2 linked regions of the Kluyveromyces lactis genome follow. The protein of the gene in region 2 purifies or fractionates together with the protein of the main gene of each other region. This does not show direct contact. Links are inferred from orthologs where the notes say so. Each region holds a gene or a part of one and is shown on either strand. Other genes may lie near its edges.

Region 1 (3,926 bases), on a different chromosome or scaffold from region 2:
GATGTATCCAATAATTGAAGGTAATTCATTTGGTGTAGCACTCATATAAGTTCTTGCACCATCGTATATATCAATGAATGGTGTCCTGAGGGGTTCGAAGTTTACAACGGCTACCTGCTTATTCAAGGCTTGGGCAGCAGCATCAAAGGCTCCAGCGGCTACTAGAACTGCTGGAAGCTTTGAATTTTTAACCCACATTGGCAATTCTGATTCATCTACTTGTTCTTCAGTCACTTCGGATTCTTCGATCTCTAACTCGTCGTCTAATTCCAAATCATTTTGGTCTAGGTCCCAAGCATCTTCTTCCTCTCCAACAGCTTCATCATCAAAGTCTAGGTTATCTTGTTCTCCTAAATCAAACTGGCCAACATTTTGGGTAGTATCTGAAACATTTTCTTCCTTATCATCAGAAATTTCAAGATCTTCGATTTGGCCCAAAAGGGCTTTTTCAAAGAATGAGACTTCAGCTTGCTTTAACGGCCAGTTTTTCAAAGGAGCAGAAATGACAGGGGTTTTTACATTTGTGGAGGAGTTGAGTTCAGTTGGTAGGGAAATGTCTTGCTCATCAATTTCTTCGGATTCCAAAATGGAAGTGGCAAGGTCATCGTCGCCGTTAGCTTTTGCCACTGCATAAGCCAAAGGAGCAGAGCCTGCATTTAAAAAGACATTTGCACGCTTCTGAACTGAGTTATTGTAAAAGGTATTTTGAATCAAGCCGGAAATATCTGATCTATGTTCAGCAATAGACTCCATTTTTGCCAGTTTGGAGTTGTCTCCCTTAAGTAGATATAGGAAAGACAGTTTATCAAACTGCTTAGTGTTTTGATATACCAATTCAGCGATATCTGTGTTACCTTGGATCAAAGCTTCTTTGCCCAATCTTTCCCATACAAGTTCATTGTTCAATTTCTCAGCTTCTTCAAGAGCAACTGTCAAATTACCGTATTGTGTAGCCAAATCAAATCTTGTTTGAGGATCCTCCACGAATTGTAACGCAATTTCAGGATAGCCTGATTTTTGAAGATAAGATATGATGTTTTGACCAACTAAATTTGAATTTTTAATGATACGCAATACCTCAGGGAAATTTTTGTTGACTAAAGTCTTCTTGAAACGATATTCAGTAGGATCAATTGTCAAAATCTCTACTTCCCCTTCACGATTCAAAGCATAGACAAATTTGCCATGTACCTTGTTGATGTATAATGTTCTTTCTAAGGTTTTAATGATACCAGAATCACCATTCAATAGACAGTATTTGATATGGTTCAATGTTGAATAAATTAGGACACCGGTTTCATCCCAACTTGCACTCTTGATTCTAATACTTTCATGGTTTGATGTAACGATTTCCAGTTTTCTGTTTGCGATTGTCAATGTATGCTTACTCATCAATGCAACATATTGGCCATCTTGAGACCACACTGTATACTTGATGTTCTTTAAAGATAATTCATGAAGAATTTTACCTTGTTGGACGTCCATCATTACCACAGAATGAGAATATAGAATCAAAACAGTACCAGGAGCAGCTAATGTGATGTCTTTAACAGTATCAGTTAATTTGATTGACTTTGTGGTTTTGTTATCTAAACTACGAACCTCCAAGCTATTAGTGCTGCCATTGTGCACCACAAATCTGTTACGAGCAACGAAGATCGCAAAACTACCATCATCAGAGATGACGTTGCTAGCTTCAACAGCTCCACTAGGTTGTTTAGGTAAGACACATAAGCTGAACCTGTTGGCTTCCTTTTCGGAGGAGTTGACAAGGACGGAATGTTGGGATGGGTTATAAGACATACTTCTAAATGAACTCCAGGTCTTGCCGATGTTTTTCAAAGAAAGATAAGGTAGAGAAGTGATTCTCTTGTGGTAATCAAACATTTGGACTTGTTTCTCCCTGTTGATAAAGAACAACTGATTTTGGTTTATAGCAGTTGGTGGTCTTTCACGGTCCAACTTAAAGATCATAATACCAGAATCATGAGCAGCACCGAACAGATTTAGGTTTGGGTGAGCTCTCACTAACCAGAATCTGTCATTTTCTCTTTTGAACTGTTTAATTGGAGTACGCTTGTCCAAGTCCCATACTCTTACGGTTTTATCCTCACCAACTGATATAATGAGATTCTGTTGAGGATGGAAAATGACGGAATCAACGTTGTTGGTATGACCTCTACAAGTATCGACCTCCCATGCCTTTGTGGCACTCATTCTCCACAATTTCACTTGACGATCATCAGAACCGGAAACGATCAATGGTAAAGTTGGATGGAAAGAAGCCCAATTTACTCCTCTAGTGTGGCCTTCTAAAATGAACTTCACCACACAATCTCCAAATCCTCCGTCAAGTAAGTTCTGTTGCTGTCTCATTTGTTCTTCGAATGATTGAGTGCCTGGTGCGGAATGTCTTTTTCTTAGCCCTGAAATATCCCAAACTCTAACGGTTTCATCCAAAGAAGCAGAAACCACCAAATCTTCGACTGGATGGAATTGGGCACACATTACGAAGTGGTTATGGCCAGTTAAACATGCTATTTCCTTTCTGTTCTGCCAGTTCCAGATTCTGATGGTTTGATCGTCGGAACTGGAAATAATCCATGGCAATTCGTGATGGAAGAATACTGTACGAACATAGTCTAAATGGCCGTCCAATGTGAATAGACACTTGTTGCTCTCTAAAGACCATACTTTGATAGTATAATCATCACCTGCAGAAACGAAAAGAGGTTGCGTTGGATGGAAATCAATGCCACGTACCGGACCCTCATGATCTTCAAAACGGTGAAGCAAAACACCCATACGGTAATCCCATAATTGGATGGTTGATGAGAAAAGTGCTACCAGAACCCAAGGCCTAGACGGATGAAAAGCAATACCTTTCGCCCTGGTAGACTTTGATTCGAACTTAGTTAACATCTTCATGATGAAAGCAAGCTTTTCAAGACTTCGATCTAAATCTGAGTAAAAACTGTGAGAAATATAAGAAGAATAACTCGGAAGAAAACGTCACAATTGCAGTTAACAATATACCAATTGGTTACGATTGAAGCTTTCCTTCGATGGTTAGTCCTCACTGACAACTCAATTAGACGACAAAGTACCTTGATCGTTGTTTATTAGCCAAAGTCAGCTTCATTCAAGGTTCATAAAATTACTTAAAATACACATATGGCTTACTATTTTGAAATAAGATCGTGTTTTATTTGAAAAGTTGTCCTTTTTGAAAATTGGAAGAATCCGAAGAGTATGCAAAGGACGTAATGGTAGGGTAATAATTACCCGAATTTGTGCCAGACGCATCTCTACAGATTCTATGCGTAAGAGAATGCTAGAAGAGATAGCATATACGAGAGTGGTATACATAGGTCTATATATCTATACATGTATAGTGTAGATGTGAACATCTGGGCAACCTTTACTGATTAATGTAGCATATTAAGCAATCTTTTGATAGGATTTCTGTTATTGTGACTGGAACCCCCATTTGTGGTAGCATCGCGTGACTGCAGAGCGTTTCGTAGGAGCAAATCTTGTTCTTCATGATTTTTTTCCGATGGTTTATTAGTGTCTTGAATAAACCTGTTTGAAGGACTCTGATCCGGCCCATCTCCCTGCTCTTGCTTCAATTGTTTACCTACCAAAAGACTTTGTTGCTGTCTTCCCGGATTTAGGCCATTCTTGTCCAAGGAAGATAAATAAGGTAATTTGCCCTTCTTCCAAATGACTGAATCTTCAAACCACGTATGCTCATTAAACTTGTCATAATTGTAATCGTAAGTAATATCTAACAATGAATTAGCATCAATAGGTAAATGTAATCTTTCTAGTTCATCAACTATTGATGGCCAGAATTTGTTTTCGTAAGGTGTAACGGCTATTGATTCCACAGTTGCATAAAATTGACCCTTCTCAAGTATATC
Region 2 (3,670 bases):
CCATGACTACGCGTTAATATCTTACTTCGAATCGACCTTAATCTTCTTGTCTTTCAAGAACATATCATTCTTTAAATCAACTTTCTAAATGCTACTTAATCAATAATTGTCATGATCACTGGATTGCATAATCCTTATTTCGCTACTCAAGCTACTAAATAATCATTAAATAATACGTAAAGCACAATAGACACTTGGTATTCCTTGGAAAATGTAGGTGTGTTGAAAAATCTCAAACTCTGACTACACACTGGGTGTTTGGAATGATCCTATATTTATTATTATCCAAATAATGGCGGTATTCATATTATGGTACAACGAAGAGATGTGTGACTGAAAAGGGTATCCTATTAAGGACAAGCTTTCATCTATTTGTTTATTTGTTTCTATTACAATAAAGCCATAAAGTTTTGTTCAGATTTTTTTTCATAGAAGGGAACTTATGGGGAACTTATGGCACTGATACTATTAACGTTAACTCCTTGATGAATGACTATACTTTATCTTACAATAAACTAACATAGGAATTAATTTCTCATGTAATCTCTTAGGTAGTTTCCTAGCTTTTGCGCTCCTTGTTCAACAGCGTTCTTCAACAGGTCAAATTCGTCATCAGCACCAGACGTGAACTCCATGAAGTTTCGTCCGCCAAGAGAACCGCTTCTGTTTGTTCTTGTTCCATTTTGTGGATTCAATGGTCTTCCAAATTCGTCGAACTGATCTTCGCTCTGGCCTTCGCCAAAGTATGAGGCTGAAGAAATAGATGTGGCATTACTGAAGTTCTGTCTGAGTTTTTCTTGAGCTTCTTTACTTGCCTCGTCATCGTAGCTTCCACGAGAAAACACCTGGTCTGAAGAGATACCCTTTTGTTCTCCGAATTTTTGGGCAATCTTACCTGTGTACTTTGGACCAGAGGCAGCCCTCCTTGATTCGTTAGTTTTGTTTTGTTCCTTTTCTGCATTATTGGAAGTCATACCAAACCCAAGTTTAGCCAACTTTGGTTTTGCCGCATCTTTGCTTCCAGTTAATCCTACATTGGAAGCATTGATTTGATCGAAAGTAATACCATCATTGTATCTGTTGGACCATTCGTCGTCCTCCGCGTCTTCGACATTGGTAGATGGCTTGGTTATTTTGCTGCTAGAGCTGAAACCAGATTTTTGTTGGAATGGCGCAGGAGTGGCATCGTATATGGAATTCGATAAATTATTGGAGTTAAGGGAAGTGGTGGCGAGACTTGAGGCCAATTCTTCCTCTTCCTTGGCTTCTTTTTCGAATTGATCAAACAAATCAGCATCCACCTTCTTGGCTGCAACCGGTTTCTTTGACTTACGAGAGGAGGAAAGGATGGAATGTTTCTTTGCTTGAGAAGAGCCTGCTGATCCTGTCAAAGTAGTTCTCTTAGTTGTAGTGGATCTAGCACCGTTGCTGGTTTTGTTGGCAGAACCACTTCCGGACAGAATAGAAGAACCATTCCTATTGCCAGTATTGGTTGGTGTTAAATTTCTAGGAGATGACGTCAAAGATATGTTACTTTGGTTTACAGGCTTTTCCCAGTTTGAGAAGAAATCATCAACGCTGTTGCTCTTTGAAGAACCAGAACTGCCCCCTGTGAATTCTTGTTCATCTTCTGCTGAAAATACAATTTCACCTGGATGTTGTTCAGCGTCTCTAGCCACTTTTTGATTCAAATGGCTCTGCCATTTCTTGGCTACCTGGCTTGTATATTTAGCCATCCGGTTGCTAGAAGAACCCAAATATTGTTTGCCGTTGTTCTTTAAGAAAAAATCCTTTGCCTTATCGTTACCACCAAGTTTGAACCTTCTCAAATTGTTGACAGTCCATTTGTCCAAATTACTTGACTTCACAAAAGTAATATGGGTACCCATATTTCTGTGCTCACCGGAACAATCGATGCAAAGAAGAACACCGAACGGAACTGAAGTCCAGGTAGGATTTTTGGCGCCACAGTCGAAGCATGCCCTGTTTTCAGACTTGGTTGTCAGTCTAGCAAACACTTTAGTCACGACTTCCTTGTCACAGTACACTTCTCCCGATTCGTCAATGCTAGCCATGGTTTAATTAAAATAAATCCTCTTGTAATGATAATGAAATGCTGAAATTCCGGAAAAAAAAACACCCTTGTGTTAAGTTAATAAGTTGATGCTAAGATACGGCAATAAAGATTCACGTTCCTGTAGCAGATTATCCTGGTAAATTCAGATCGTATCTCAAAAGCTAGATCAATCGCAAGAAAAAACTCTTAAGTATCAATTTTAGAAAACAGAGTACTTAATAACACGCTTTCTTACCACCTTAATAATAACTTGCGAAAAATACTTCTGTAAGTTCGGCGTGTCCCTCCCGCGCTCAAAGTGTGTACAGTAGTCTGTTGCACCTGTTATGATGTTACCAGCAGTGTAAAAAACTTAACTAAGACCAAAAACTACGTTCCTTAACGGTCCAAAATTTGAATAACCGTTCTGTCCTGTGTTAAAACCTTTTCTGTTTAGAAATTCGATCTTTCAATTTAAAGATGTCAAAGAAAATAGCAGATATGAATAGTCTGTATTATTATTACCCGGACCAAACAATACAATAGTGGGAATGGGATGATGAATTAACTGGTATTCATCATGTCCGAGCACCAGTACAATGCTAGCATATGGTATACTTAATATTGAATGTTGTAGTATGTGAACTAAATATAATATTATTGGCATATATAACGGAGACCTTAAGGTGGTATTAGATCAGAATATGTTAATCCATGAAACGTATTTAAACCATTTAGGTTCCACCAAAATACACGTTGCAGTAGCGTAGACGGTCGGTTTAGGGTTGTATATCCAATTGGGTACGCTCTTAGCCACTAAGGACTTTACGGATCCCAGTTTCGTAGAAGGATCAAGAGGTGGTGATTCCAACGTTCCTGTAATGATACATTTTCTTCCCTTGGTTTCAATGACCTGGGCGTTGAGCACAATGGTGGAATTAACTGGAACATCCTTCTGGAACGATATGTCTAGAGATGCAGTGACTCCACGCTTACTGGGAAGTGTAGGGAACCCGCAGAAACACAAAGCCTCGTCTAATAGCAATGAAAGTACACCTTTATGCACTGCATTCTTTTCGTTGCCTAAATTGTGGCCCAAATGATATATGACGTGGATCTTGTTCTGTGCATTATCTGTAAACACCACCGGATCAATTTCAAGCTTAGTTGGTCCGTAAAGCAACCCTTGACCTACGTGATAATCTCTATGAGGTACAGGGATCTTCTCCGATTGACGATGCATCATATAATCAGACGACTCTTTAAGTTTCTTGACCCATTCTGTGGCCCTAAGTTTATCCAATACATCGGTCCGTTGGTCCTGTAGCGGTCTATGTAACGTTTGTAGTGCTGATTCATCCAAATGCCATGGCTTAACGAAATATCCGAAGCCCAATGTGAACCCCGTTAAGGGTAAAATAACGTACCTGGAAATCTTCCCGCTCATAATTCGACCACTGAAAACAAAACTCTCAAACTTGGAAAACTTGCTTCGGGATATTCTCTCAAACACGCCAGGTATAATCAGTTACTTCTGGAGCAATGCTTGATGCTAACCATTTAAACCTTTCGGATAGTTCCTACCCTACCCTACCCTAAACCATTCCAGACTTT

Evidence for each region.
Region 1: the proteins of GLO3 (region 2) and COP1 purify together in Saccharomyces cerevisiae (affinity purification with mass spectrometry; 4 studies listed by BioGRID). This does not show direct contact. The link is inferred for Kluyveromyces lactis from reciprocal best matches to the Saccharomyces cerevisiae genes GLO3 and COP1.

The regions. Positions count from the first base shown.
Region 1 is NC_006042.1:478,755-482,680, forward strand, and holds the start of COP1 (coatomer subunit alpha), read right to left. Parts: upstream 2,929-3,926; coding exon 1-2,928. Other genes in the region: CRR1 (putative glycosylase), read right to left, coding at 3,429-3,926. UniProt on the Saccharomyces cerevisiae protein: The coatomer is a cytosolic protein complex that binds to dilysine motifs and reversibly associates with Golgi non-clathrin-coated vesicles, which further mediate biosynthetic protein transport from the ER, via the Golgi up to the trans Golgi network.
Region 2 is NC_006041.1:616,536-620,205, reverse strand, and holds GLO3 (ADP-ribosylation factor GTPase-activating protein), read right to left. Parts: upstream 2,076-3,670; coding exon 528-2,075; downstream 1-527. Other genes in the region: MRX3 (Mrx3p), read right to left, coding at 2,754-3,503. UniProt on the Saccharomyces cerevisiae protein: GTPase-activating protein for the ADP ribosylation factor (ARF) family. Involved in retrograde vesicular transport from the Golgi to the endoplasmic reticulum.